Linked DNA regions of Coturnix japonica. The protein of the gene in region 1 purifies or fractionates together with the protein of each later gene. This does not show direct contact. Links are inferred from orthologs where the notes say so. Each region holds a gene or a part of one and is shown in the gene's direction. Other genes may lie near its edges.

The links.
Region 2: the proteins of VIM (region 1) and SQSTM1 purify together in Homo sapiens (affinity purification with western blotting; 3 studies listed by BioGRID and IntAct, with this or other methods). This does not show direct contact. The link is inferred for Coturnix japonica from reciprocal best matches to the Homo sapiens genes VIM and SQSTM1.
Region 3: the proteins of VIM (region 1) and XPNPEP3 purify together in Homo sapiens (affinity purification with mass spectrometry; 3 studies listed by BioGRID and IntAct, with this or other methods). This does not show direct contact. The link is inferred for Coturnix japonica from reciprocal best matches to the Homo sapiens genes VIM and XPNPEP3.
Region 4: the proteins of VIM (region 1) and NES purify together in Homo sapiens (affinity purification with mass spectrometry; 3 studies listed by BioGRID and IntAct, counting the BioPlex papers as one, with this or other methods). This does not show direct contact. The link is inferred for Coturnix japonica from reciprocal best matches to the Homo sapiens genes VIM and NES.
Region 5: the proteins of VIM (region 1) and GAN purify together in Homo sapiens (affinity purification with mass spectrometry; 3 studies listed by BioGRID and IntAct, counting the BioPlex papers as one, with this or other methods). This does not show direct contact. The link is inferred for Coturnix japonica from reciprocal best matches to the Homo sapiens genes VIM and GAN.

What each region holds. Positions count from the first base shown.
Region 1 is NC_029517.1:18,024,527-18,029,484, reverse strand, and holds the end of VIM (vimentin), read left to right. Parts: intron 1-23; coding exon 24-119; intron 120-256; coding exon 257-418; intron 419-885; coding exon 886-1,011; intron 1,012-1,637; coding exon 1,638-1,858; intron 1,859-1,951; coding exon 1,952-1,995; intron 1,996-2,423; coding exon 2,424-2,509; intron 2,510-3,004; coding exon 3,005-3,046; 3' UTR 3,047-3,624; downstream 3,625-4,958. UniProt on the Homo sapiens protein: Vimentins are class-III intermediate filaments found in various non-epithelial cells, especially mesenchymal cells. Vimentin is attached to the nucleus, endoplasmic reticulum, and mitochondria, either laterally or terminally.
Region 2 is NC_029528.1:4,616,037-4,622,543, forward strand, and holds SQSTM1 (sequestosome-1), read left to right. Parts: upstream 1-2,024; 5' UTR 2,025-2,101; coding exon 2,102-2,279; intron 2,280-2,379; coding exon 2,380-2,475; intron 2,476-3,205; coding exon 3,206-3,435; intron 3,436-3,530; coding exon 3,531-3,687; intron 3,688-4,129; coding exon 4,130-4,219; intron 4,220-4,736; coding exon 4,737-4,978; intron 4,979-5,230; coding exon 5,231-5,438; intron 5,439-6,046; coding exon 6,047-6,204; 3' UTR 6,205-6,357; downstream 6,358-6,507. UniProt on the Homo sapiens protein: Molecular adapter required for selective macroautophagy (aggrephagy) by acting as a bridge between polyubiquitinated proteins and autophagosomes.
Region 3 is NC_029516.1:45,508,415-45,514,328, reverse strand, and holds part of XPNPEP3 (xaa-Pro aminopeptidase 3), read left to right. Parts: intron 1-1,823; coding exon 1,824-2,231; intron 2,232-3,869; coding exon 3,870-4,072; intron 4,073-4,515; coding exon 4,516-4,578; intron 4,579-5,914. UniProt on the Homo sapiens protein: Catalyzes the removal of a penultimate prolyl residue from the N-termini of peptides, such as Leu-Pro-Ala. Also shows low activity towards peptides with Ala or Ser at the P1 position.
Region 4 is NC_029540.1:615,331-620,367, forward strand, and holds the end of NES (nestin), read left to right. Parts: coding exon 1-3,226; 3' UTR 3,227-3,690; downstream 3,691-5,037. UniProt on the Homo sapiens protein: Required for brain and eye development.
Region 5 is NC_029526.1:13,703,488-13,709,401, forward strand, and holds part of GAN (gigaxonin), read left to right. Parts: intron 1-4,370; coding exon 4,371-4,485; intron 4,486-5,324; coding exon 5,325-5,675; intron 5,676-5,914. UniProt on the Homo sapiens protein: Probable cytoskeletal component that directly or indirectly plays an important role in neurofilament architecture.

The sequences.
Region 1 (4,958 bases):
ATTGTTCTCTTCTCTCTGATCAGGATGTTGACAATGCTTCTCTGGCGCGCCTTGATCTTGAGCGCAAAGTTGAGTCCCTGCAAGAAGAAATTGTCTTCTTGAAGAAGCTTCATGATGAGGTAAGCTGAATAATGAGGTCTGTGTCTGGGCACTGTCAGTCAAGTGAACAACTAAACTCTCTGGCTCTGGCCCCGAGTCCTAACCTATGCATTTTCTGTATAGTGTTGTTTATTAACACTGTCTCCTTCTCTCTAAGGAAATCCGGGAACTGCAGGCTCAACTCCAGGAACAGCACATCCAAATCGATATGGATGTTTCTAAGCCTGATCTTACTGCTGCCCTGCGTGATGTTCGTCAACAATATGAAAGTGTTGCTGCTAAGAATCTTCAGGAAGCTGAAGAGTGGTACAAGTCCAAAGTAAGTAAAATGTGTTGTAGGATTATACAGATGTAGCGGGCATTCAAATGAATTTTAGGTAACAGTTTTGCTGTAGCACTCAGTGTTCCTTCTGTACTGAATGCTAGCACAGCCGCAGAGTAGGGTAGTCTTTAAACTTATTGATCTGGGAAGAATACAGTTGGAAAAATTACTTGTGCCCTAAGTGCAGCATCAAACTAATGGGCTCGTTTCCTGTTCTTCCCTATTCTTGGAGCTGGAGGCAGTTCTTAAGTATATACTTAGGAAAGGAATGAATAAATGCATGAAAGGATCTGAAACATAACAATCAGGAATAGAGAAGTTCAGTGTAATGTTCACGTTTAAATATTTCATGTGCTAGAACATCCCTGTAATGGCTTCAGTTGCTTCCAAATCCTGGGTCTAGAAGTAGCCTGTTACACCATTTTAATGAGGAGTTATGCTAACCAAACTGGGTGTTTCTACAGTTTGCAGATCTCTCCGAAGCTGCTAATAGGAACAATGATGCCCTGCGCCAGGCCAAACAAGAAGCTAATGAATACCGCAGACAGATTCAGTCTCTCACCTGTGAAGTTGATGCCCTTAAAGGAAGTGTAAGTAGATGATGTTCTTCCTGATGCAGCTTTTTAAGCACTGTGCTGTAGTTCAGTGGATGGACGTGGCTGCAGCTGATCTCCCGTACAAGGCAGCAGTGTACCCATCCTTCCTGAAAAAGACTCATTGGGCTCCATTTGTCTGCATGTACTGTGTAGTGCACTGCTCAGATTGCTGTACTGAGCTGGTCTTTCTCAAGGTGTAAACATTACAGAATGAGCTATACGAAGCCTAAGGGAGCAGTGGAAAAGTGCAGATCTTGTACTTTCTTGAATCTAGTTGCCTGAAAGGCTGGCTTGAAATGGAGGTAACTGTTTAGTACACCGGTAGACTCCCTCACTAAGTACTATCTGCGTGCTGACTTGTACTGTATGTGTTTGACTTACTGTGGGGGTTTGCTTTGCTGTCTGGTAGCATAATGTTAAACGTGTCTCATCAGACACCTCACTCACAAGGCTTCACAAGGGGAGGATAAGGAGATGATAAAAGGGGGGCATGTTTGAGCCTTTTCAGAAAGGATACTGTTGTTCAACTTCCCTTCATGCTTTTTCTTATTTAAGTAATGAAGGGCCTTGCCATTAGGAGTGGCTGAACTGTAATTGTACTTGACTTTCTTCTCTCCCAGAATGAATCCCTGGAGCGCCAGATGCGTGAAATGGAGGAGAATTTTGCTGTTGAAGCTGCTAACTACCAAGACACTATTGGCCGCCTGCAGGATGAGATTCAGAACATGAAGGAAGAAATGGCTCGCCAGCTGCGTGAGTACCAGGAGCTGCTGAATGTCAAGATGGCCCTGGATATTGAGATTGCGACCTACAGGAAACTGCTGGAAGGAGAAGAGAGCAGGTAAAAATCATATGCAGACACCTACTTTCTAGCAGTTACTGTTTGAGATTCTGTACCATTGTTTGACTTGATCCATCTCTTCTTTTCCTTCAGGATTAACATGCCTATTCCAACCTTTGCTTCTTTGAACCTGAGAGGTAAGCTGTTTCTTTTGGGTCTATGTAGGCAGCTGTTTTTAATCTTTAGCAAAAAGGTCATGGATAGTTCCTTTTACTCTAGTATTTGAACTGGTATAAATGCAGCTGTATTTGAAAGTCTTTCTTACACACAACTACAGTATTTGCAGTTACTTAATTTTGGATGAGAGGTGGTACTTTGTTCCTGGGTGTACACATAGGGAAGTATCAATATCATAACAAGTGATTTGGATTTCTGCTGAAGCTGCTTTAAGAGGAATAGGAAGAAAATAAATAGGAAGTAAAGCTAGTTTATCATTCATTATCATTCAAAGAGAAGAAGGACTTCATATACTAAACTGGGATTCTGAAAGCAGGTACTGACGTCGGTCAGTTTGTTGAGGAGGCGCTTCATCCACACTTTGGTAACAATACATTTTCTTCTGCAGAAACCAACATTGAGTCTCAGCCAATGGTTGACACTCACTCGAAGAGGACACTTCTAATTAAGACTGTGGAAACTAGAGATGGACAGGTTGGTGGTAACTTCTTTTTTTTCCCCTTCTTTTCAATTTCTATCTCAGCTGGTTCCTTTGCCCACTTCCGTACCCTGTGCCACTGATTGGTGCAATCAATACATGGCAGCGTCTGGCAGTCCAAGCTGCATGGCTGGGCATGCAGATGTAGCAAATGTACTTAAGTGGAATAGACCACAAAAAAGATCTGAGAACAGCTTGAGTGAGAACAGTCTCTCTTTAGAGGAGATTTGAGGTTCAGTTGAGTTACAGGTTCTCAAGATTTCTCCTGTCACATTAGAAAACTGTTGCAGAGGAAGCATTTATTAGAGGTGGGATAGTGTATTTGGCCTACATTGAAGTTGAGCTGGTTAAGCACGTGCAGGTACAATTTAAACTTCTCACTCGTAGGCAAATGCTGATATCTTAGTGTACATGTGCCACAGTTTGTTTCAGTTGTAACTCTTTATAACAGCTATCTTAAGCTTAATGCAAGTGTCTCTGTTTTTCAACAGGTTATTAATGAAACTTCCCAGCACCATGATGACTTGGAGTAAAGCTGAAGTGAAGATGCAGACTTAATGCAGGAGAAATTCTTACCAGCAAGGGTTTAAAAAGTTCATGTCTTAAAGAAAGAAACAGCTTTCAAGTGCCTTTCTCCAGTTTTTCCATGAGCGCAAGATTATTATGCTAGGAAATAGGTCTTAGATCTTGCAAACTGACTCTCCCTGAAGGATTAGAGTTTACAATGGAGTCTAGTTTACAAATAGCAATATCTTGTGCTGCAATACTATTTTTTAAGTATCTGAATTTAATAAAACTGCTTTTTCCAGCACAGTATGAGCAACCTGTCGCTACTTCAATAAATCTTTGGAAAATGGCTCTTGATGTGTTCTAATTTAACTTCATGACTTTCTGCAAAGCCATAAATTAATGCTGGAATTACTATACGGTTGATAACTCCAGTACTGATTGTGTGGAATATTGTTTTCAGATTAACTAGACAAACTTTTTTCCCCATTTAATGCTTAGGTTTTGGAACCAATTAAAATGTGGACTATAACTGGCAGATGCATAATGTATTGATACTTCTTATCAGTTGAATAAAATGATACTTCAAGCTAATAAAAATTAATCTTGCTTTCATATATCAGTTAATCCAGTTGATGAGCTAAGAGTACTCAAAATACTTTGGAGCTAAGCTGTATAAACTGTGGTAGATAAGTGAGACACGTAGCTCATGCACACCCTTATCTGAGACAGCACCTTTGCAAAATTAACAGCTGACTTGATGTATTGACTTCACTTTCCAGGAAAGATTAGTTCCCAAAGGCTTGTCTGTACTACAGGAACTGAAATGAAGGCTTCAGCTGAAGTAGTGGGTTATGGAGATGATATTTAAAGGGAAAAGAAGGAAAACAGCTTTCCCAAGCTATGCTGTGGCATCAGCTCTTTCTGAACACTTATCTAAAAGAGAAGAGATCCTCACTGATCTGTGTTTTCTGCTGAAAATCAGCCTCAGTGCAGCAAAATGGGGCAACTCCCATCTGGACTAACAGCCTCCTAGAGCAAAGGGAGAGGTTTCAGTTCTCTATGAAGGGTATTAGAAGAAAAGCAAAACACTTCAAATTGATGTAGTCAAGATACAAAAGTAACTTTTGTTCTGCATTACTTCTGTAGATCTTTCTGTAAGAATTCAGTAAGGTCTCATCTGCTGGATGAGTAAATGAGGACTGGAATTGTTCTACAAGTATGAACTGCATTTATTCCTTTTTCAAGGTGAAGACACAAAGGTTAAGTTCAGTGTTGTGCTGATGCTTTCTTAGGTGTGTGGGAGCTGATCTTTCTTTATGAAAAGATTACCCAGACAAAAAAAAAAACCAAAACCAAAAAACAAACAAAACCCACACACCTTTTTTCATCGCTATTAGTTAGTTCTTCCCTTTGTTTCAGGGCATGATGATTAACAAGCAGCACAGGGTCTGGTGGGAGGAGGCCGTAGGTGTGCACATTTTTATGCCACCAGCTGTAGCACCCAGCCAGGGGTTGTGCAGTAACCAAGGTGCTAAAGGGGAAGTTAGTCAGGGACAGCCTGGTGAGCAGGATACTCTCACTGAAAAGTGAGACTGAACCCAGCATCTCATGTAGAGGTTACAGATACAAGGCTTTTTATGTTACATACAACTACAGCTGAGAGATGCCCTTTATGATAGTGGTAGTTCTGGGTATGTACAACAGCTCATTGTGAGCACCTACCTGACACAAGCATCTGCAGCCTTTAAGGATAAGAGTGAGGCACTTCCATCCTGCTCACAGCAGCTTTGGGCACTAAGAGCTCATTCCTGCTGAAGTACAGGGGCGCACTGAGCAGTGGCACTGCTGAGCAGGAGGAGCAGGCTCTGCCTGGAGACAGCAGGAACCTGTGTGTGGCACATGCTGCTGGAGATCACCTGAGTTACGAGAGCCTTT
Region 2 (6,507 bases), on another chromosome or scaffold:
CCAAAGCAACGTGTCTGAATATGATCCTACCACCAAAAAAGGGATGTACTTCTGTATTAATGCACGTACACCTATTAATGTATGCGTATACGTGTATGTGTAAGCATGCATTTGTGACACCCTGGGGGCAGGATGGATGCAAGGTGTTATGATGGTGATTGGATGCCAGGAGCTGCCCCATGCAGCTCTCTGTGCCCTGGTGTGGCTGAAGGAGGCACGGTGGTGGTGGGGCAGCCCTTCTGCAGGGCTGGAGGAGGAAGTAGTCACGGGACGGGGTGAGTCACCAGCATCTGACCTGGTACATCCGGAGGATCCCTCTCCAGAAGCCTCTGGAAAGCACCAGCACCTGCTCTCTGCAGCTCTGCACAAGGGCAAACCCTCCCAGCCCAGCTGCAGCCCCTTGGGTGGTGATTTGGATAATGATTCCCTCTGCAGAACCTCCTGCAGCCTCTGTTGTGGTCCGTGAGCACAGGAGCAGCATCCCAGCAGGGCTTTGCTGTGACAGTGCAGAGCTTGGGTAGAAGGAGCACTACTGACGACTGAGCCTTTGGAGCAGCAATCTCAGCAAACGTTTGCAAACAGTTTCCAGCAGAAGGTGGGTGGAGGGAGGAAGCAGAGCTGCGGGGCTGCTGAATGCTCCTTTCTGAGCCCTCCCTCTGCAACTTGGAGTCGTGAAACTGGAACAGTTTTATTCCCATCCTCTTTGCTGTCCTCCTGCTCCGTCCATCTGGGGAGCTGCTCATAAGCCGGGGCTGACAAGTGGTTTTTTGAGCAAGGGTTGTTCTATGGATGGAATGTGGTTCCTAAAGAAGAGCAAGAAAACATTCAGTGCTGCCAGATAAATTCCAGGCCTGGGTCCTCCAGGTTAATACAGGCTCAGGTTAACAAGAGCTTAAGCCAAATCTCAGGCTGCAGAGCAGTGTGCAGTTGGGGTTGGTGGGGAGACATCTGTCTGTCCGTCCGGCTGTGGGATGGGAGGATGCAGTGAGTGCCATTGGAATACATGGGAGCACGGCAGGGCCGAAGCACCAGGCCACGGGGAAACACCAGAGTCAGGGCCTGGAGGAGGAAATCCCCACCTCGAGGAGGAGCAGGGAATGCTGAGTCACCCCGTCCCGTGACTGAGCTGAGCTCACTGCTCACCGCAGGCCTTGTTTGCTTTGTGCTTTGAGAAAGTGAATGATGTCACGGCCAGAGAGCCCAGCGTGACTCAGCAGGCAGCTGAGATGGGACGCTCTCCATGTTTACTGGATGGAAGTGCCCATGGAGGAGAGCAAGGACTCATGTTGATGCCTGGCTGTGGCTCACACCAAGCTCTCACTTGTCACCTCATGCTGCACGAGTGCCACGTCCCAGGAGCGTGCTGTGATCCCAGAGCAGCCACATGTGCACCAAGGGCACATCCACACGGCAGGCCGTGTTGTGGCACACACAACCCATCGTGGGGGGACGCTCACCCTGCAGTGCAGCACAGCATGGCTTACACACTGTGATTGCCTCAGCCCAAGGTGGGCAGCCAGGCTGTGGGCTGGAGGGAATCAGTGCTACAGAGCTGAGGCAAAGGGGTTGCTCCAAAAGTAATGCCTCCCATTTGCAGGTGGGATGGCAGCAGAGGGTGAAGGAGCCAACAGCTGCTGAGTGTTATGGAGCCCAACGAGTGGGTGAGCACAGCACTGTGAGCACAGCACTGTGAGCACGGCATGGCCGTGTGTTTCACAGTCACCTGTAGAGCAGCATGCAGCCTCGTGTTCACCACTGATGACAATGCACAGCACAGTGGTGGTGACCGCGTTGAAAAACAGTGCTTTGTAGCTGAGAACCTGCTCTGTCAAACAGCGTCACTGTGATCTCTGTAGCTGTTGTAGTTTCCATGCAGATAAATAGGAGGCATTACTTTCGGGGCGAATATGGGCTCTGTATTTCCAGGCGGCGGGGCGGTGCCTAATGGCAGTGGTCGTGGTTTAACCCAGGGCTGTGCCCACCCCGGCCCGTCCCCCCGCTCTATAAGGCTCGGTGCCGCCGCTCCCTCCCGCAGCACCGCCCGCCCCGCGCCGCCTCCCGCCGCTCGTTGTCCCGCAGCAATTCGTGCTGCGCCACAGCCATGGCGGCGCTGACGGTGAAGGCCTACCTGCTGGGCAAGGACGACGCGGCCCGCGAGATCCGCCGCTTCTCGCTCATTGCTCCCGTCCGCTACCAGCCCGTCCACGACCGCGTCGCCGAGCTCTTCCAGGGGCTGCTGCGGGCCGGGCCGCCGCCCGCGTTCCGTATGCATTACAAGGGTGAGCGGGGCGGGGGGGCTCGCTGTGGGTCGGGGCCCCCTTCGTTGTCCGGGAGGTGGGTGCGGGCCGAGCGCCTGACGGTGTGCTCTGCTCTGTCCAGATGAAGACGGGGACCTGATCGCGTTCTCCACCGACGAGGAGCTGGATATGGCCATGCCTTACGTGCAGGACGGGGTCTTCCGTGTGTACATCAAAGGTAACGCCCCGCAGCCCGGTGGCACCGAGCGCTCTGTGCTGCTGGCACGGCTCCGAGACCGGGAAAATCCCGGTCCTGTCCCTCATCCTCGTGCTGCAGCTCAGAGGGGAGGTTACATAAAGGGCGAGGTAAAGACGGGCACAGACCCACTGTGTGCAGGGGTTCCTCCTGGCTCCGGGGCCTGGGTTGGCACAGTGAGCGCTGCAGTGTTCAGGATGGTCCTAGGAACCCCCTGCCGTACTGCCAGCAGGTGCCATGACATGTAAAGAAACCCCAAAACCAGCTTATTCCTAAGCACATCATTCCCCAGTCCGCTCTGTTCACTTGGACACCTACAAAGCTTTATCTGTAGGCTGTGATGTGAGTAGTGTAGGCCGCCCTTCTTGTCTCAGTTCTCACCTGCAGTGTCCCCTGGCACTGCTCAGCTCTGTTCAGAAACATTCTCTTCTCGCAGCACTCCACAAGGTAGGAGGATGCTCCAGGCAGGGTGGTGCAGCACTGATCTAAAACAAAGTGTTTGAAGAGCGGGTATCCTTGAACCACCCCTTTGCACTTGGTTTATGTTCTTATGTGCCCCCAGCTTGTGTTTGGCAGCCAGTGTAAAAATAAACTGCCCTAGTAAGTCAATACTGCTGTGACAAGGGCTGTTTGTGTTTCCTTCCCCTCTGCCCGATTTCCAGCCTTTAAATAGTACCCTCGTTCTTGATGCAAAGATCCCTTTCCTTAATAGAGAAAAAGGAGTGCAGGCGTGAACATCGCTCCCAGTGCAGCCAGGAGCCTCCCCGGGACATGGTGCACCCCAATGTCATCTGTGACGGCTGCGAGGGGCCGGTGGTGGGCGCTCGATTTAAGTGCACCGTCTGCCCAGACTACGACCTGTGCAGCACCTGTGAGGGGAAAGGCATCCACAAGGAGCACAACATGGTGATGTTTCAGAGCCCGCTGCTGAATCCGTTTGAGGTGAGCAAAACCTATGGAGCAGAACCAACAAAAGGGATGCTGCCCAAATGTAAGCTTTAAGTTTCACCTGGTCCCATGAACGTTACCCTTTGCAGTGGATTCCCAGAGGGCGCTGGCTCCGTAAGATGCGGCATGGTGTTCCACCCTTCCCCTGGATGCACTGCTGGGGGTATCCCGCACCTGCAGCTCCGTGCCAGAACTCGGAACAAGCCCAGGCCAGTGCTGCTGCCTCCAGTCCACCCGCTGCTGGAGGTAAGAGGAGATGGTCTGCTAAAGGAGAATAGTAGTGGAGGAGCCAGAGAAGCTGGGACTTCACAGCCCAGTGTGGGATCTGGGTGGGAAAATAGACATGGGAACTAATCCAATTTGTGTGAAATAATGAGCCCTTTCCAGGACACTGGTGTGGTCTGGTGGCCACACAATATATGAGGTTATGGAGAGCCTATTTGGAACCAGACCAAGCAGAGCTATTAGGTCAAGCATGTCACTGCTCTGCTCTTAGATGTGCTTTCAGCATGGCTGATGAGCCTTAACAGTGCTAATGCCACTGGTCTTCTGTTCCAGAGGTGGTTTTGGTCTCTCTGCTGCCTTGGTGCTGTGCAGATGAGTGACACAAAACAAGCACCAAGAATTCCTGGGGATGTGCTCTTTCCCTATGGGCTGCTATGTGTACTAACACAAATTGTTCTTCTAGAAGCTTCTACTAACAGCCAGCCCCAGGACCCCAATGTCACCTTCTTAAAGAACGTTGGGGAGAGTGTGGCAGCTTTTCTGAGCCCCCTGGGTAAGTGACTTATGGTGTGTCATCCCCATCCCTGAGAATGGCTTTGCTCCCACCAGGAGCAGCAGCCAGCTGTTGTGGCTGGTACCAGAACCACTTTGTGCTACTCAGCCTCAAAAGCCTTAAGTTTCTGTGTACTAAAATTGTGTGGGTATAGGCCATCTACTCAGTACCTTTTCAGAGTCCTTTGTAAGGATCCAAGGAAGGGATTAATTATATAACCCCAAATCACCGATGATTTAAAATCATGTTACAGTGGTATTTTGCTTAGGCACACATACTTAAGGTCTGCCTTGACCCTCTAAACACATGGCCTGTCTTTTTAGTGCAGGATGACTAATTGGTGCATCAGAGCTAACTAAAAGAACGCTTTGCACTTGAATTCATACGTATTATATGGGGAGCTGTAGGGTTACAGTCATGCTGCAGCACTTAGTCCAGGATTAAAGTTTGCTTTTTTTCTTAGAACCGTGCTTTCAAAAATCTAATGGTTTTTTCTTGGTCTCAAATGTATTCCCAGGTATTGAAGTTGATATTGATGTGGAACACGGAGGACAGAGAAGCAAAGTGACTCCTGCTTCTAATCAAGAGAATAACGGTGCCGAGTCAAGCAGCAGTACTGCTAATCAGAACAGTCAGAGCAAACCATGCTGGAATAGCACAGATTCTGCAACGGTAGTAAACAATGTTACAGAGCAGATACAAGACATGGTGATAGATCCTGTGCCCACACAAATGGAAGATGGCAGCCTCCAGTCCCAGGTACAAGAAACACTGCATTAATTTAATACGCTTGCTGAGGCCTTACTGAAAAGGAAATAATTCAGTATGTGTTGAGGGACTGATGATTCAGTTGTCAGCAGATAGAGAATATATGGCACTTTGCTTTACTGGTTTACAGCAAAGGTGGGACTTGTTGTAAATGTAATTCTTCCTATTAAAAGCAGATAGTAAGAGCATGCATCCTACCTGGAAAGCACTACGGCACCTGGACCTCCTTTCTTTCCATTTCAGGCACACAGTGAGTCAAGCAGTTCATCAGGGGGTGACGAGGACTGGACCCACTTGTCTTCCAAAGAAGTGGATCCTTCCACAGGTGAACTGCAGTCTCTACAAATGCCAGAGACAGATGATCCCAGCTCCCTAGATGTAGCTCAGGAAGCTCCCCAGGCAGGACCTACAGGGCTGAGAGAGGCTGCACTCTACCCACATCTCCCACCAGGTACGAGAATGCATGCAGGTTGCACGTGAGTTAAAGTTGCTCTCACTTATTGCCAACTTGTCCAATATAAGCAAACCTGCTTAGGAACCAAGCTCACATACAGACAAGTTAAACTGTAACTTGTGCTCTGGCAGCACTCTGCATGCTGTTAGGAACAGGCATGTTCTCTGCTTGAATGGTGGCAGCAAGTCTTAAACTGGTACTAATATGCCATTTGAGCAGGATGAGAGAGGTGGCCTCTAATCAGTGTCCTTGCTGTGTACTCTTGGAGAGCCTTTTAATGCAGGCTGTAGACAATACATCCTGTAACTTAAGACACTTTTCTGGCAAGAGCTAGTTAGGAGTCTGCCAGGTCACTTAACTGAAACCACTGGCAATGAGGTTTACAGCAAGGACAGATGGATCTAACTCAGCTGCTTCCTTAGCAGGTTACATATGCTGTATCTCAAAATGTCTGCCTCATAGGATACAGAGGAAAGTGTCTTCCAGCGCTTGTCAGCTATGCTAGATCTGCTAGGATTAGTGCCAGCCCACCATGTGATACCACAGCCTTGGCTGGTTTGCTAATAATGTGAAGCGTTTTAACTTCAAACTCATTCTCTTGACAGAAGCAGACCCTCGCTTGATTGAGTCTCTGTCCCAGATGCTCTCCATGGGCTTCTCTGACGAGGGTGGATGGCTCACTCGACTCCTGCAGACAAAGAACTGTGACATCGGGGCAGCGCTAGATGCCATCCAGTATTCCAAGCAGCCTCCTAACTTGTAGTAGCCTATGTAACAAAAACCAGTTTCCTTCTAACTAAAAGAAAACTATGTGGTACAGTTAACTCTAGCAAATGCATCTTCTGTTACAGGTTTCTGTTTCATGTTCCTAAGTGCTTGTAGTGTGGAGAAAAAAATAAATACTGCCACTCTTTCACTGGTGATGAGTTTGTGGCTGTTTAATAATCATAACTGTTCTACTCTGTTAACTGGAACTTGATTATAAGTTAGGAGAAGATCCAGGCCAAGAGCACATGATTTCTATGTCAGGTGGTTCTCAGTGTAAAAGTAAGGCTAGCTCTGTGCC
Region 3 (5,914 bases), on another chromosome or scaffold:
GGGGCCCCTGGAGATCATAAACTCCAACCCCCCTGCTAAAGTGGGTTCCCTAGAGTAAGTTGCAGACTACAAGTGGGTTTTGAACATCTCCAGGGGAGACTTCACATCTTCTCTGGGCTGTCTGTTCCAGTGCTCCATCACCCTCATAATAAAGAGTTTCTTCCTCATGTTTGTATGGAACTTCTGGTATTCTAATTTGTGACTGCTGACCCTTGTCCTGTTGCTGGACACCACTGAAAAGAGCCTGACCCCATCTATTTGACTTCCACCCTTTAGATATCTGTAAGCATTGATAAGATCCCCTCTCAGTCTTCTCAAGGCTGAACAGTCTCAGGGCTCTCAGCCTTTCTACAGAAATAATATGACATTGCTGAGCTGAAATGATTAATTTTAAAAGAAAATGACTTTAAAGATTGGAGGACTCCACACCTCACAGTTGGAAAGCAACTGAGGTTCCCATGTTCCACTCTATTGCAGTTTACTGGGCTGTTTGCAGCAGTTAGCTGACAGGAACACAGTGGAGCATAGGAAACATGCAGTATAATATTGCAGAATTGTGGGATCAGATTGCAGTGAAAGAGTTTCTGTATTCTATATCATTCTACACCTATAGATAAAGCAAGAAAATTTCTACAGCAAATACCAAGCTATAAAGTTTAATGTAAATGAAAAGCATTATTTCTTTAAATTCTTTTCTTGTCAGAGACAAACATGCTGGATAGAACTCCCCCCCCAACCCCCGGCCCTACTCATGCAAGAATCCATTTACAGTAAAAGTCAAATTTGCATTTTCTTTCCTATAATTGTCAATACCTTAAAGAGTAAAGAAAGAGTATGACGTTATAATTTAGCGGTATGAAAATGCAATCTAAATTAAATCCTGTGTTAATATAGGATATTAGCCAAAGCACTGAGAAGGCTTATGTCTTAGTCTATAGCATAGTTAAGGAATCTCATGCTCTTAAAAATATATACTTAGTTGTTGGTTGTTCTTTCAACTTCAGTCCACTTTTGGTGAGTTTCTTGATTGTTTCATTTCTTGTCCTTCATGACTGGTATGCAGACTTTCATCAAAGAAAACATTTGTTTAGAGCCGCGTGGAATATAATATTTAGCTTCAGAAAAATCCAGGTGTTGAATTATTGAGATCAGCTACATCTTCCTCAGGAAAGATTCCTTCTGTTAATCAGAGTGATACCAGCCTGTGGGTCGTGGTTTCCTTCTGCTTGGAATCCTGTGAGGAGAACCTCTGTGTTTCTGACTCCCTTCCCTGTATCTAGCTCTCAGTCTGCCTCTTAGGGTTCAGGACTAGTTACTTTATGAGTTGACTTAGTGTGTATTTGAACAGACATTCTAGCTTTACCTGATGAAATCAGTGCTCAGCATAAGGAGGTAATCTTTGGTTCAATGTCCAGATGCTATAAAAAAAGTCATGTTTTCAACAAAGTTTACTTTGCCTTGTCCCCTTTTTTCCTTATCTTTCTGAAGGTCACTCCTACCAAACTTCTGTTCACTGAATGCTTTGGACAATTGTCTGGTTCTACCAGGTTCTGTAATTTCTGCCTTTGCATAGAAATATATATCAGAAAATGTGTTTAAAACAAATTCCTCCTGTTTGCACAGTGCAGGAGCAGAGTAAGCAAGGATGTGCTGCAGGGGTGAGAGCTGAGATGTTGAAAGAGCAATGGAAAGGCTAGTGGGAGACTGCAACAAAGCCATGCATATGAAAGGCATCAGGAAGCAAGCAGGAATCCAGCATGTAATTAGTAAAATATCACGAGGGCCTTGAATTATTTTGATCTGATTTGTTTTTTTGGTCATAGGGGAAGTAACCCCAGGATTGTCACAGGTGGAATATTCTCTTCGCCGGCACAAACTGATGACATTGATCCAGAAGGAAGCCCAAGGCTGGGAAGGATTGGACCACACGGTGATTCTGCTATCCAACCCCATGTACTACATGAGCAATGACATCCCCTATGTTTTCCACCAGGACACGAACTTCCTGTATCTCTGTGGGTTCCAGGAGCCTGACAGCATCCTGGTGCTGCAGAGCTTACCTGGCAAAGCACTTCCCTCTCACAAGGCCATACTTTTTGTGCCCCGGAGAGATCCGAGCCGAGAGCTGTGGGATGGGCCCAGGTCAGGCACAGATGGGGCCATTGCTCTTACAGGAGTAGATGAAGCGTACACTATTGAGGAGTTCAGGCACTTGGTGGCCAAGCTGAAAGGTAACAAAAACAAACGGGGGATGAGGTGAAGAGTGGGTCGTGGGGTCTGAATGGTACGTCTTTACGGTTCTGGGAAGAAACTGTAATAAGTAGGTATAGGCTTCTCCCTTAAATGCCTAATCTGTGAGCCTGTATTGGTGACAGAAGCAAAGAGGGTCTCACAAAGTCACAGAATCACCAAGGTTGGAAAAGACCTGCAAGATCATCCAGTCCAACAATCCACCCATCACCTATAGCTCTCACTAAACCATGTCCCTCAACACAATGTCCAAATGTTCCTTAAACACCTCCAGGATCGGTGACTCCACTACCTCCCTGACAGCCCATTCCACTGCCTGACCACTCTTGCAGAGTAGTATTTCCTAACATCCAACCTGAGCCTCCTCTGGTGCAGCTTGAAGCCATTTTCTCTAGTCCTATTGCCAGTTACACAAGAGAAGAGGCCGACCCCCAGCTCACAACAACCTTCCTTCAGGTAGTTATAGAGAGCAATAAGGTCTCCCCTGAGCCTCCTCTTCTTCAGACTGAACAATCCCAGCTCCTTCAGCTGCTCATGTAAGAGCTTTAAAATACTCTCATTAGAAGTAATCTATCCTTGTTGGATGACTGTAGAAAAGATGCAGGATCTTAGTTTAGGCATCTAAGGCTAACTAACATGAATTCCCACCTTCTGTCCCACATGGTCTCAGTAACGATGTTTGTAAACCGAGAGGCGGTCAGTGCAAGTAAGAGGCTTGTTCTGATGCTCCTGCCTATTCTGTGTTCAGTGTATTCACAGAAAATTTTAGTTAGGCTGACAACTTTAATATCCATATATTTTCTTTGGAAGTCCAGTGAGATGATGTAGAAGTGCTTCTCTCATGGGGGTTGTGCCTCTCCTCTGTGACCTGAGTTTTTTGGGTACGTATGTGAACACTGATGGGCACATCTCTGAGAAGTAAGGAACAATATAAACAAGAGAGCACGTATTACTGTTTTAGGCATATCTTTTTGTTTATAAGGCCAGAACCACTCTGAAGCACTGGAAACTTGAAGGAATTTATTCATAATAAATGTGAATATTTCATAACTTGAAAAATGATCCATCAAGGGAGTTTGTTAGTTCCCTCACCTTTGTTCCCGTTTAAAACATTCCTATGGGGAAACAGGCGCTAATTCTGATGTTCTAAATAGATTTTCACATAGGTAAATATGTTTGTCCTCAGTAAGTTAATCTCCTCTAAATCGCTGAAATAAGCAGTTGCTCACCAAAGATATTCCAAAGCATGGTCAATATGTAATGGATAAATGAGAGAATGATTCAAAACATGTCCCACTGCAGTGACTTGCTTGCCTATGCAACTGCAACCCTGATACACGAGCTACATTTATCTGTGCAAGATCAGTGATGATCAGAAAATCCAATATTTGCATACAAATGGGGATTTGTCAAATCTACATGTTATGCACTGCTAATTTTCTGGATTTTTAAGGGATCTCTAGTGTTATCTGATAGAAATTCATGACCTGTAAATACAGATTCAGAGAAAATTACCAGTGCAGCAACATGTCTAGCTTAGGAGGGGTGATTTTGTACAGTATGAGGAGGGAATATCTGAACTTACCTTCATCTGCATCAACATTTGTTTTGTATTCCAGGTGAGTCAAACAAGGTGTGGTATGATATGACTAAACCAGTGCATAAAGAACTGCACTCTGACTATATGCAGCCCCTGGTTGAGATAAAAGCTCGGAGCAAAAATCACATCCAAGGCATCCGGCATCTAGTGCAAAACCTTCGGCTGATCAAATCTCCTGCGGAGATTGAAAGGATGAAGATAGCTGGACGAGTGACATCGGAGGTGCGCAGTTGTGTACTCTCAGAAAGAACCAGTGCATTCCTTTAAACAAGAAAGCGGAGAGGGTGTTACAGCATGAGTTAGGCTGGAAGGATAAGATCTAATCTTAGTTACTGAACTGCTGTTTCTCAGCTATTGGCTGGGCTCAGCTCCCCCCATTTCACAAAGAAACACAGGAAAACAGCATGTACCACGAGCTTCTCTCAAGGGAACTTCAGCCAAGATGATCCAGAAGGTGTTAGACTTTGTTTTAAAGCTGTGTTTATTCAGGAACAGCAGTGCCCCTTATACTGTCTCCCCAACATCTACTCTCCTTCCCTGAGCTATTTTCTTCTCCATTTGTTCCATTGTTTTCAAGGAAACAGCGAATTTTAGGCATTCCCCAAAAGACAGCAGGTAACAGCAGGTCCTTTACTAACTGAAAGGTCCTTCTTCTTCTTTTATAGGCTTTCATAGAGACAATGTTTGCCAGAAAATCTCCAGTGGATGAAGCCTTTCTGTATGCAAAGGTGAGTGTGTTATTGTTGGAGGTGGGATGGAAGGGTTAAATGCTTCTTACCCTTCCAGGAAACTAGGAATGTCAGATCTCCCAATAATGAAAGAGAAATACATATTTTTCTGCCCCTATGGATATTTATCTTGTACCTGGTAGCCATACTAGTGCTGTTGCTCTCATGCATGGACGGGCTCCAAAGTTCAGTGCTCCTACACTGAGGATAAAATATTCTTCCTGGAGGTCTTTTGTTCATTGTTGTTATTTCCAAGAGTCAATAAAGATAGAGTCAAAGCTCCACAAATGGTTGTTGTGGATTTAAAGGCATTGAAAAAAAGGTAGGAGATTGATAAAATTAACAGAAAATAAGCTTCTTCTCTAGTCCGGCTTTGAAGATGCTGATCTGATTCTTCAAAGCACCTTGAGTGTTGTGGCAGGATACAAACTAATCCCATCAGTGATGGTCAGAAGCTACTACATGAAGGTTCAGTTAAAGAAATACACTGTGTGACGGAAGTTTCAGTGTGGGAGAAGAAGCAAAGGAAAGCCATGAGGAGAAAGAATTGGGAGGTCTAAAGAAAATAAGAGATAAAGGGGGAGACAAAATATAACAGTTAAGTCCAGAAAAGCTATAAAAGAGAGGGTTGGCTACATCTGTGTTTGAGTAAATGTGTCTCATGGACAAGAGTCCAAAGTGTGCCTTATCTAAGCAGACTGATAGCTCTGGAGACACACTAGCCCAGTAAATGAAAAATCCTGAGTTTGAACATAAGCTTTCAGTCAAGGAATCTTTACCATTTCCACCCACAATAAGTATGAATTCTGGGACGTTTGGATTTTCCTCTTCTTACTAAACGTGCAGAGAGATTATATCTTCAGTAAAGATAATTCACTGTAGATGATAAATCATACAACAAATATGATAACTGAGAAAAGAAATAAGTTACTTTTATGTTTTAGTTATCTGCTTGTTGCTTAGTACAGGGCTGTAGGTCTCAAGAAATTACTTCCTTTAAGGTGTGTAATTTTGTTACCTGTGTAAATCAAATGCAGTTTGTTTTCTACTATCCATTTTACAAACTATCACCAAGGCAATGAGGGAGTTAAAAAAAACAAAACCACAAAACAAGTCTTGGCGCTTTGTGGGAGAATTAGAAGGAAGCAAGTTTTCATTTATTGAAGGAGCTCTTCCTAACCAGGTGGTTGTTTGGTATGACTCTGGGAGAGCATTTTGGTGAAGGCTCTGACTTGTATACAAAAGAATTTCACCTTTCATGTCTGAAGAAGGGGATATCTAATTCATGTATAACTTGTTAGCAGCTGTAGTGTTTGCTTTTGTGGAACTTCTGCAG
Region 4 (5,037 bases), on another chromosome or scaffold:
GTGTGAGCTGGGTGCTGATGCAGGGGAGGAGAGGGAGCAGGAGGTTTGCCTGGAGCTAAAGGTCTCTAGCATTGAAGGGGCTGTGCCAGCAGCAGAGAGCTCATCAGGGGCTGGAGAAGACAGCACAGGAAGGGAGAGCACAGGCAGTGCAAGGGATGATGAGGGAGAGGAGGAAGATAAAGGAAGGGAGGCATTAGAGGGAGAGGACCCCCAGACAGGGGAGGCTTTGGGAGCCAAAGAGCTGAGGCAGGAGAGTATGGGCTTGGAGGAGGCTGAGGGCATGTGGGAGGAACATGTGGACCTGCAGGAAGAACATAGAGACCCCCAGGAGGGACATGGGGACCTGCAGGAGGAGAATGAGGACCTGTGGGAGGAACACAGGGACCTACAGGAAGAACATGGGGACACCCAGGAGGAACATAGGGACCTGCAGGAGGAGCCCGGGGACCTGCAGGAGGAACATGGGGATCTGCAAGTGGAACATGGGGACCTGCAGATGGAGCATAGGGACACCCAGGAGCATGGGGACACCCAGGAGGAGCATGAGGACCTGTGGGAGGAACAGAGGGACTTACAGGAGGAGCATATGGACCTGCAGGTGGAGCATGGGGACACCCAGGAGGAACATAGGGACACCCAGGAGCATGGGGACACCCAGGAGGAGCATAGGGACCTGCAGGAGGAGTATGGGGACCTGCAGGTGGAGCATAGGGACCCCCAGGAGGAATACAGGGACCTGCAGGAGGAACATAGGGACACCCAGGAGGAACATAGGGACCTGCAGGAGGAGCATGGGGACTTGCAGGTGGAGTATGGGGACCTGCAGGTGGAGCATGGGGACCTGCAGGAGGAGCCGGGGGAGACCCAGAATGAGCATGGGGACCTGCAGGAGGAACATGGGGACCTGCAGGTGGAGCATAGGGACCCCCAGGAGGAATACAGGGACCTGCAAGAGGAACATGGGGAGACCCAGGATGAGCATGGGGACCTGCAGGAGGAATACAGGGACCTGCAAGAGGAGCAGGGGGACCTGCAGGACGAACACAGAGAGCCACAGGAGGAGCTTGGGGACCTGCAGGAGGAATACAGAGACCTGCAGGAGGAGCATGGGGTCCTGCAGGAGGAACAAAGGGACCTGCAAGAGGAACATGGGGACCTGCAGGACGAACACAGAGAGCCACAGGAGGAGCTTGGGGACCGGCAGGTAGAGCATGGGGACCCACAGGAGGAATATAGGGACCTGCAGGAGGATCAAAGGGACCTGCAGATAGAGCATGGGGATCTGCAGGAGGAGCATGGGGACTTGCAAAAGGAACATGGTGACACCCAGGAGGAACATGTAGACCTGTGGGAGGAACACGGGGTCTTGAAGGAAGAACATGGGGACCTGAATGAGGATCATGGAGACTTGCAGGAGGAATCTGGAGACCCTCAGGAGGAACCTGGGGAACCTTGGGTGCAGCATGGGGAGCAGGGCTCTGCAGAGGATGGGTTGGAGCAGGACATGGTGCTGCAGCCAGGAGAGGGGGCATGGGGCAGGGAAGACAATGACATCAGTGAAAAGCAGCAAGCACAGGGTTGGGAAGGGACAGAGGAGGATAAAGAGGAGACAGGAGTCAACACCATCACATCCCAAGAGCCAGCCCAGGTGGATGATAACCCACCTGCGGAGGCAGCAGAAAATGAGGAGGGAGATGTCATGTCACCGACAGCAACAGAGGGAACCCAGGAGGGTGAGGATGAGGGAGATGCTGGGAGTGAGGTGCAGAGCCAGCATCAGTCACAGGACACAGCAGGACAGGAGGTTGATGTGGCCCCAGGACAAAAGGAGATCAGGTATGGGGACACTGGGGAGGCACCAGGGGATCCACAGGATCCAGTGGAGGTGCTGGAGGAGCAGGATGAGGAGCTGAGCTTGGAGCCCATTGAGCTGGAGAGAGGCAGCCCCAACACTGCAGTGATGCAGCAGGATCCAGGCAATGGTGCAGAGAATGATGAGCCCATGGAGGAGGACATTCAGTCAGAGGATACTCAGTTGGAGGAGCCCAAACCGTGCAGGATGGAAATGGAGGATACGCTCAACAGCACACCACTATGTGCATACAGTGGGGAGGTGCTGGAGTCTGATCCAAACCCTCCATCCAGTGGAGGGGATGAGGAGACAGCACCTGAAATGGCTCAGGAGGAGGAAGAGGAGCTGAGAGGGAGCGATGAGGCAGCAGTTCATGCAGTGCCAGAGAGCTGCAAGGAGTCAGGGATGGAGCTGAACCCTGAGCCAGAATGCACTGAGGAGGAGGAAGGGTACTTCATAGTTTCTGCTCCCAACCAAGAGGGGTCCAGCATGGAGGAAGCTGAGAACTCAGAGGAATTTGAAGAAATTAAAGTTGAAACAGCAGAAGACAGAAAGGATGAACTCACAGTGCCTGGAGGAGCTTCTCCGGTGCCAGAGGATGAAGAGCACTTGGAGCCATTTGTGGGGGAAGCTGAAGATGTGAAAATGCCCATGGGAGAATTTGAGATGCCAAAGGAGGAGGATGAGGAGGATGCAGGGGGTTTTGCTGCTGAGCTGGAGGAAGGACTGGCTGTGCCCATGGCTGAGGGGCTGTCTGAAGAGCACGCTGATAAGACCACCCTGAGTGATGAGGGGCTGGGGGAGGAGGATGTGCAGGATGGAGACAATCCCCCAGCCACTGAAACCTCCAACACAGACCCCTCCAACACTGACCCACCTCCAGGCACTATGCTGGAGCATGGAGCTGGCATAGAGGTGGCTGAATATCTCCCCGATGTGCCCACACAGCTTCCAGTGGACATGGTGAAAGACTCAGATATCCTGGAGATAGTAGAGCAAGCCCTAGAGTTCAATCAGGAGCTGGTACTGGGAGCCAAGCTAGCCAAGGATGAGGAGGGGGATGGCGACACACAGCCCCTACAGGAGGAGGAAGGGGGGTCCTCACCCACCTCATCCAGTGATGAGCAGCCAACAGTGCAGGAGGCAATAGCAGAACCAGAGCACACCAAGAATGGGGAGCAGAATGGGCTTCATCGACAAGCCAGCCTGGAGGACCTGGCTGAGTTCACCGAGGAGGGGCTGAATGGCATCACCCACCCAAGTGAAGCCCCTTCTGCCCACTCCCTGCCCAGCAAGCACAGTGGGGCTGAGCCTGTCCCTTCGCTCTCTCCACTGCACCCAGAGCAGGAGCCCTGGTCCTCGGGGGAGGAGTGATGGTGGTGGGACCCCCACAGCCCCCCACGACAATCGGACGCCTCCCATAGCACTGCCTACGTAGCACACCCGTTTCCTTTTGGTTTGTAACATGTTTGTGTGGGTTTTGCCTTGTTGAATGGATGCACACGGCAGCGCAGCTGAATGAGGGGCCACGACTTCACACCTCAGAGCAAGAAACCAGGCTCCATCTCTGCCCCTAGATCCCATACTTGTGCTGGGTTCAGCCTCATTTTGTACCCCAGGTTCACTCTTTATTGCAGTATTTAATTTAAACGTTTCATCTCCTCCTGCCCCATCCAACCCAGCCAGGTGCACGCGGTGTGATTTCCATACAGCCTCACCTTTGTGCTGCACACCGGGATGTCTATCCCCAACCTACACGATGCTCACAGCGCTGAGCCACGTCGGATGCATCCGCTGCATTGACACTAAGTTAATAAAGCATCGCCCTCCCACTCTGACCTGCTGCATCCCAACTCTCATTCCTATGGAGGGGGGAGGAGATGGATGGGGGAACTCATGGACTTCAAGCTGGGCTGGGGGTGTGGGGAGGATACGGTGTGTTTGAGGCTGTTTACCCCTACCCGCTGTGCTAGGGATGCTGTTGGACACAGTGTTGATGGGTGCCAGCCCACCCTGACCCTGTGCCAACACACTCAACAGTGAGACAGCAGAAAGCAGCTGCTATTGCTGCCTGAGCCAGGCATGCTGCCCACAAGGCTGCCCAGTACTCAAGCATCCCAACCCAACCAAGGCACATTGCTCCAGCCCGGATGGACGACACGTTACCACTTAGCCCTATGGCACCCAGAGGGGGTCTGTGAGGGGTGGGCATCGTGTGGGTGCCAAATAGATCCCCAGATCAGTGCAGCTCAATGCCTCTTTTGTGCATTGGACACGAAGGAACGCGCCAGCGGCCGGAGAATGGGTGGCCTTATGTGGGCAAAAGGCTGAGTCACGGTGGGCAGGGGGTGAGGGGAACTGGGTGGCATTGGCATGCTGCACTCAATGCTGTGCTGCTCACCCACACGCTGGGTTCAGCCCTCTGTGCCCCTGCCAGCACTGCATGGAGCCAGGCTGTGATAAGGACCCTGCATTTATCAGCCTTCACCGCACAAAGCCCCCCCCCCCCCCAGCCCCCTCCCCTACCCACAAGCGATGGTTTCCTTTTAAGGACAAACTCGAATGAAGTGATACAACAAGAACCAAAAAAAAAATCCCCCTCCGATTAGTTTAATCAGGCACTGAGCCTGTGTTCAATCAGCCCCTGGCCCACAGCCTGCCCTGCAGAGAGGCCTGGGCAGCATCACCCGATGGTGGCTCAGTTATCCATGGCGGACCCCCCCCCTTTCCCTCCCCTTCATCCCCAAAAGCTGTGGGGATGCTGTGGGGTGGGGGAGGTGAAATGCTGGGCCATGCGGGGGGCTGCATTCCTCCCAAAATTAATACGCATTCCAGGCAGCCCAATGCTGACAAAGAGACGAGGGGGGACAGATGGTGGGGGCAGCTCCCTCCTCACCCTGAGGAGGAGGAGGAGGAGGAGGAAGGGTCAAGGGCTGAGGGGTCACCATAGGGGTGGGGATGGCTGTGGGGGCACTTGGTTGGAAGTAAAACCCAGCCACTCTTGCCCAGAGACAACACAAATTGCATGAGTGGATGTCACCAAATGGGACATGAGTGCCCCCAAAAGGGGCTGCCCCCTTTCTAGGGTACCAACCCCATAGGGATCCCCATCTACAGTCCAACCCTACACACCCATCACCCCAGGGCTGGGATCACCCCATGCCCAGCACCCATGGGAGCACATA
Region 5 (5,914 bases), on another chromosome or scaffold:
TAATCATCTTCCTGTGAGGAGGTGGCAGCCAGGGCTGGTAAAGAGGTTCTTCATTGAGGGAAGCCCACCAGCTGTGATCATGCCCTGTGCTGCTGTTGAAGGATTCACTTTGTGTGTCATTTCATTCTGGTTTTTTTCATATAGAAGGGGAAAAAAGCCTTAAGTTTTTGCCTGACTGAATTTTTCTCTCTGTTGGGAAGTTCAGATTATTCCTCATTGTTCCCCTTTAAACCAAAAGAAGCAACTTGTGCAGATCTGTATGCTGAGCTGTTGGGTGGAATATCTCGCCTTGAGACCAGAAGTTGCAGTTACAGATGATCATAAAAAGAAAGACGTAGCCGAGGCACAGCCAAAACGCACCGAGAGCTGGCACCCATTGCAGGGTGTGGTGAAGACAGTCAGTCTTTTATGTGCACTGCTGAAGGCCAGGGCGCAACCTCCAGGAGAGCCTCTCATTTGGCTGCAAAGTGCCGTGTTGGAGGAGGGCAGTGGGTGGAGTGAACTGCTGCATCATGTTGTTGTGTGTGACCTATTTAACGGTGTAAATTATTATTAAGGTTCTTTGCATGCAAAAAGATCAGCTTAGGTGGAAGAAAAATGTTGCAGGTAGAATGCTTCACACAGAGGGTGGTGGCGCACTGGAACAGGTTGCCCAAGGAGGCTGTGGGTGCCCCATCCCTGCAGGCATTCAAGGCCAGGCTGGATGTGGCTCTGGGCAGCCTGGGCTGGTGGATGGAGACCCTGCACACAGCAGGGGGTTGGAGTTGGATGATCATTGTGGTCCATTTCAACACAGGCTTGTGCTCTCTGGTGTCCCATGGCCACCTCCTGGTGTCCAGGCCACAACTGGCCTGGGATGCAGCTGTGTCAGAGATACAGCTCCATTTGAAACTGCCTTCTCGAGAAGGTCACAGCGCTGGTGCAGATAAAGGATGTGTCAGCAAAAATGGCTTTTATTGTGCTTTGATTTGGAAGGATAGCCTTGTTACTTCAGTGCTGAGATGGAATAGCGTCCATTGGCAGAGGCTGTGCAGTGTAGGCTGGCCCTTGTGATTAATCTGGAGCTAAATCAGTAATTTGGAAAGGCAACTTTTAGAAAGAAGAGTGTTTCCCTCTTGCCTGCTGGGATCTGGCTGCTCACAGCTGTGTAAGCTGCTCTGCAGAGCTGCGTTGTTAACAGTGTGGTGATGTCCAAGTAGGCAAAAGCTTTGTTTTGTTATAACCTCCTATTGCAAAGCACCAAAACCAAACCAACTGGCTTTGTTTCCCAATTTCTAATTGTTCTTCACTACAAATGTCTTAAACCTACTCAAGTAACTGCAGTCTGGGGTGTTCTCTGTGGGGACTGCATTGCTCTCATTTAACTTGCTGGTCTTATTGCTCACATCTCAAGAAGAGGTATTGGGATGGTTTCCTTGCTGTGTGTTATGCAGTGACATCTGAGATGACTCATTAGGATTGTGCTCCTTAAGTGACGTGGACAAGTAGATTCTAAATCTGTCTATGACAGATACACAGCATCAAGCACAGTAGGGCTTGTTCGTATGCATGGAGTCAAGCTGTTCTGAACTGAATTAAGTGAGAAAATAAGGCTAAGAAATTCCCTTGCTTTGTTTTCTGTGCGCATCTGGGCTGTGCTCTGTGCCACGGGGTTTTATTTCCTTCCAAATCTGGATGGTCTGGTCGGTCTTCTGAGCTGAAGAAGAATGAGGCAGCTATTTATGCAATGGTTTGGCAAATCAGAGTGCTTTTAAAGTCATGAGAAATGTTGTCCTTAGCAGGAGGCTCTCACATGCATTGGAAGCAGCCATAGCGCGTTGCTGTCCATTGCTGGTTTCCAGATTTCATCCATGCAGATCATAGGAAGAATGAATCACTATGGAAAGGAGCATCGTGGCATATGGACAGACTGGAAACCTTTGTTCAAACATGGTTTGGAGCTTTTCTTTTAGACTGAGATTTGATGGAGAACCAAGCAGGTTGTGTGTTTTGCACACTGCCGTCTGCTCTGCACCTGAGCTTGGAACAAACATGTTTGGAAACATTCTGGTTCTGAGAGTGGGATGTGCTGTGACCAGGGCACTTGAGCTCTGTTTGCTGGTGAGGAGTGAGTGCAGGTGGTGCAAGAAGAGGAAAGTCCCCTTTCCTTCCTCTTATGTACCCCGTTTTTTTTCCTCTTCTTCCAGTTTTCTCTAAGCTGCTACACTCAGTTTTCTATCTTAGCCTATTCCAGCCCTATGAGCCATCCAGCTGCTGTTTGGGAGTGGTTCTTGTGTCACGGCTCAGACACCTTTGTGCCAAAACAGGGAACCCGGTAGTTCATTAGCGAGCAAATTAAGGCTCTGAGACAGATGGATAACTACTATTCTCAGATGATAGGAGCACAGCGTCGTTGGAAACTGAGTGGGAAGCATTTGCATACTGTGCGTGTTTGTCTGCATACAAGAGACTGTAACTGTACGACTTCTCTCAAGTTTATTTTCTCTCTGCTCTGTTTGTGTTTTGGGGAAGTATCTGCAATTGGTTTGTTTCTTTTCAGGTTAACAACTGTTGTGCCCTGAAGAAACACACAGGAAATAGAACACAGAGCCTGATAAGACCCCAAAGCTCTGGGCAATGCTTCCTTGTTACTAGGAGGTGTCAGTGTAAAGTCCATGCAACAAGGTGATTTAGCTTGGGTGTGGGCTGGTGATGCTGAGATGAAAGTTAGTGATAAGCAGTGCTAGTCCTTTCCCTAATCTCCTCATTAGTGCTGCTATGCAATGTGTTTATTATGTGCTTGCCCTTGGTTTAAAACCCACTGTGCATTGGCTGCCCTGGTTCGGTGTTGGTCCATAGCTGTTACCCGTAGGTTCTTGGTGTGGAATGGATCCCACCTGGCTGCTGTTCCAGGCACTGCTAACGTAGATCTGTTTGGTGTTAATAACAAAAATGCCATTTAATCCCAGGAGAGAAATGTATAGCTTTCATTATCAAACAAGAAACTCCAAACTTAAGTGTAACCAACGAACATGAAATTGAGGTAATTTGGATAGACTTGAAAATCTGCATCTAGAAACCTGACCCTGGAACTGGGAATGGATGTCTGTGTGTGCAGATTCTCCTTCCTTCATTTGGAGCTTGTAGGTTTGGGAAATGCCTGTTCCCCTTGGGCAGGATGGGGTGGGTTGGGATACGAGTTGCACAGCATTGCTTGAGCCCTATATTTGCTATAGAAGTTTCTAGCTGACAGTTCACAGATCAGTGTCTGTTCTTTCAACACACGTGGGCCATTTACAGAAGGTGTTTAATTTTCCTAATCTCATTCCAAGAGTTAGGAAATAAGCAATTTGCTCATCCAAATTATGTTGTTGTTCTGTTACATGCGCTGGGTGCTACACAAACACAGGGCACAGCAGCTTAATGTCAGTGCTGTTGCAGTGATGTGCATGGATTGGAGCAGTTATTGCTGACAGTTCTGCTCACAGCGTAGAAGAGCAGCATGAAAACAAGGCAGCAGATATGGTTGAGAGCTCAAACTGCCATCCTTGTTTGCTCTTCAGACTCTTTATAGACTCAGATTTTATTTGATGCGAGTTGTATGTTTTGAGAAAATGATTTATTCTGAGTGTCAGTGAAGCAGAATCTGGCCGTTGGCGAAGTCATATCTGCTTAGTGTGAGTGTGTGTAACAGAAGACAGTGACAATTTAAGGTGTTTTCCAGTTCTTCTCCATTCTATTCAAAAGCACATCCAAACTTTCCGGGGTTTTTAAAGAAACTTGCTCACCAGAAACGTGTCTGCTGATACAGGTGAATATTTACAGCTTGGCTGAGCAGAACATGGCCTGTTTCCTAGAACTGTGAGCACACAGTGCAGCTGCAGCCAGTCGTAACACCGGGCTGATAACATCATAACCCAGACAGAATGGTCGAGTTGTGCTGCTGGGGTACATTCAGTCACATATGCTCATTCCAGTGTGTTGTTTTGGGAAAGCAATGGGCGCTGTCTGTTAGTTTGTTTCACCTTTACCAAAGGAAATTCTTGTTTCACCTGTCAGCAGAAGTGCCCTTCTGTTTGAAGCTGTGAGTGATGTTTGTGAATGCTTGGGATGAATGAGCCAGGAGAAAATTGCTTTGGCTCTTCAGTGCCATAAGTAGTTTCCAAGGCTAAACCTGCTTTTGTTCGGTCTGCACGTGTGATGAGCAGTACCAGAGTCCACACATATAATCTCTTCGTGCCAATTTTCAGACTATACTGTAAGGTTTTACCATTCCTGTTTTAGCGAATGTGATCCACAGTTTCCTGCTGTCATTTTTCTTTAGAAAGAAATGCTGTGCCCAGCTCTTGAGTGCTGCTTATTTATTGATTCATCTTCCCTTCTTCTCTTAGAACGAAGTTGAATTACAACCCTCCAAAGGATGATGGCTCAACGTACAAGATTGAACTTGAAGGGATATCTGTTGATATCATGAAAGAGATACTAGATTACATCTTCAGTGGGCAGGTATGGTATTAAAAAGAACTAGATGGAAATTGAATTGTTTGACAAAACAACCTGGGTTTTAATGTTACTATAGCAGAAGATAAATCCATTGGGGATCACACTTTAAAGATTAGCGATGAAGAGACTGCAGAGTGGTACATCTCATATAGGTTCTGCCCGTGAAATAGAGGCAGCAAGTTCTGCAAGGAGTTCTCTCTTGTCACACTGTGGAAGAGGACTGAAAAATTCCATTTTAAATACTTGTATTAAACTGTCTTCAGTAGCCTGCTTTAATGTATGAATACTTTCACTACCAGAAAAGCAAACTGCATTGACAGCAGTGGAAGCTGAGACCCCATCACTGACCCCATATATTAAAGAACTGCAGGCATTCTGTCTGGTTCTCTGGCCTCCTGCTGGCCGTGTGCCCACTGTGTCTTTATTCCAGTAGCCTTAGCAGGAGTCAATGTGTGCAGTTCAGAGTGTGATGGCTGAACTACTTGAGCTTTAGGCAAAAGCAAAGAAGCAGATACATCCTGAGGTTCTTTCCTGGATGTGCTGCTTCTTGTTTAAAGGTAATTAATTTATTGCGGAAAAATCCATTGTAGGCTCTTGGATGAGAGCAGCAATTTCATGGTTCCCTCAGGTGCAAAATCCTGCTTTGACACCTTCTGTCAAGTCAATCCCTTCCCCTTCCTTGGTTAATTTATCAGTGTATAGTGGTTGTATTGATTTCTCTTAATTTTTGCAATGCTGTTAATATTCCATTTCCCAGCTGCTGCGAATGATTGTAGTGAATATGGACATGTCATGAAGCAAACGGGTGATAGTAGCGATAACTTCTAAATTAATTCTTGCAGATCAGGCTAAATGAAGAAACTATCCAAGATGTGGTACAGGCAGCTGATCTCCTGCTGCTTACAGACTTAAAAACTCTCTGCTGTGAGTTTTTAGAAGGTTGCATAGCTGCTGAGAACTGTATTGGTATTCGGGACTTTGCACTGCACTATTGTTTGCATCATGTTCACTACCTTGCCTCAGAGTATCTGGAAACTCATTTTCGAGATGTCAGCAGCACAGAGGAATTCTTGGAACTGACTCCTCAAAAACTGAAAGAAGTGCTGTCGATGGAAAAGCTCAACGTTGGAAATGAAAGATACGTCTTTGAAGCAGTGATTAGGTGGATTTCTCATGATTCAGAATCAAGAAAGGTCAGGATGCTAAAAGGGTTATTTTTTAATGTGACTTAAATTATTGTGCTTATTCTGATGGGTGGGAACTTCAGGTAGAACTGTAGAGTCATTTAGTCACGAGATCATTGAGTTCAGACATCATGTAACAGTACCAAGTCTTAAACCCCACCACCCAGCTTGATGTCCACATGACCCTGAAATACCTCCAGGGTTGGGGATGCCACCACCTCCTGGGGCAGCCCGCTCCAATGCCTCCC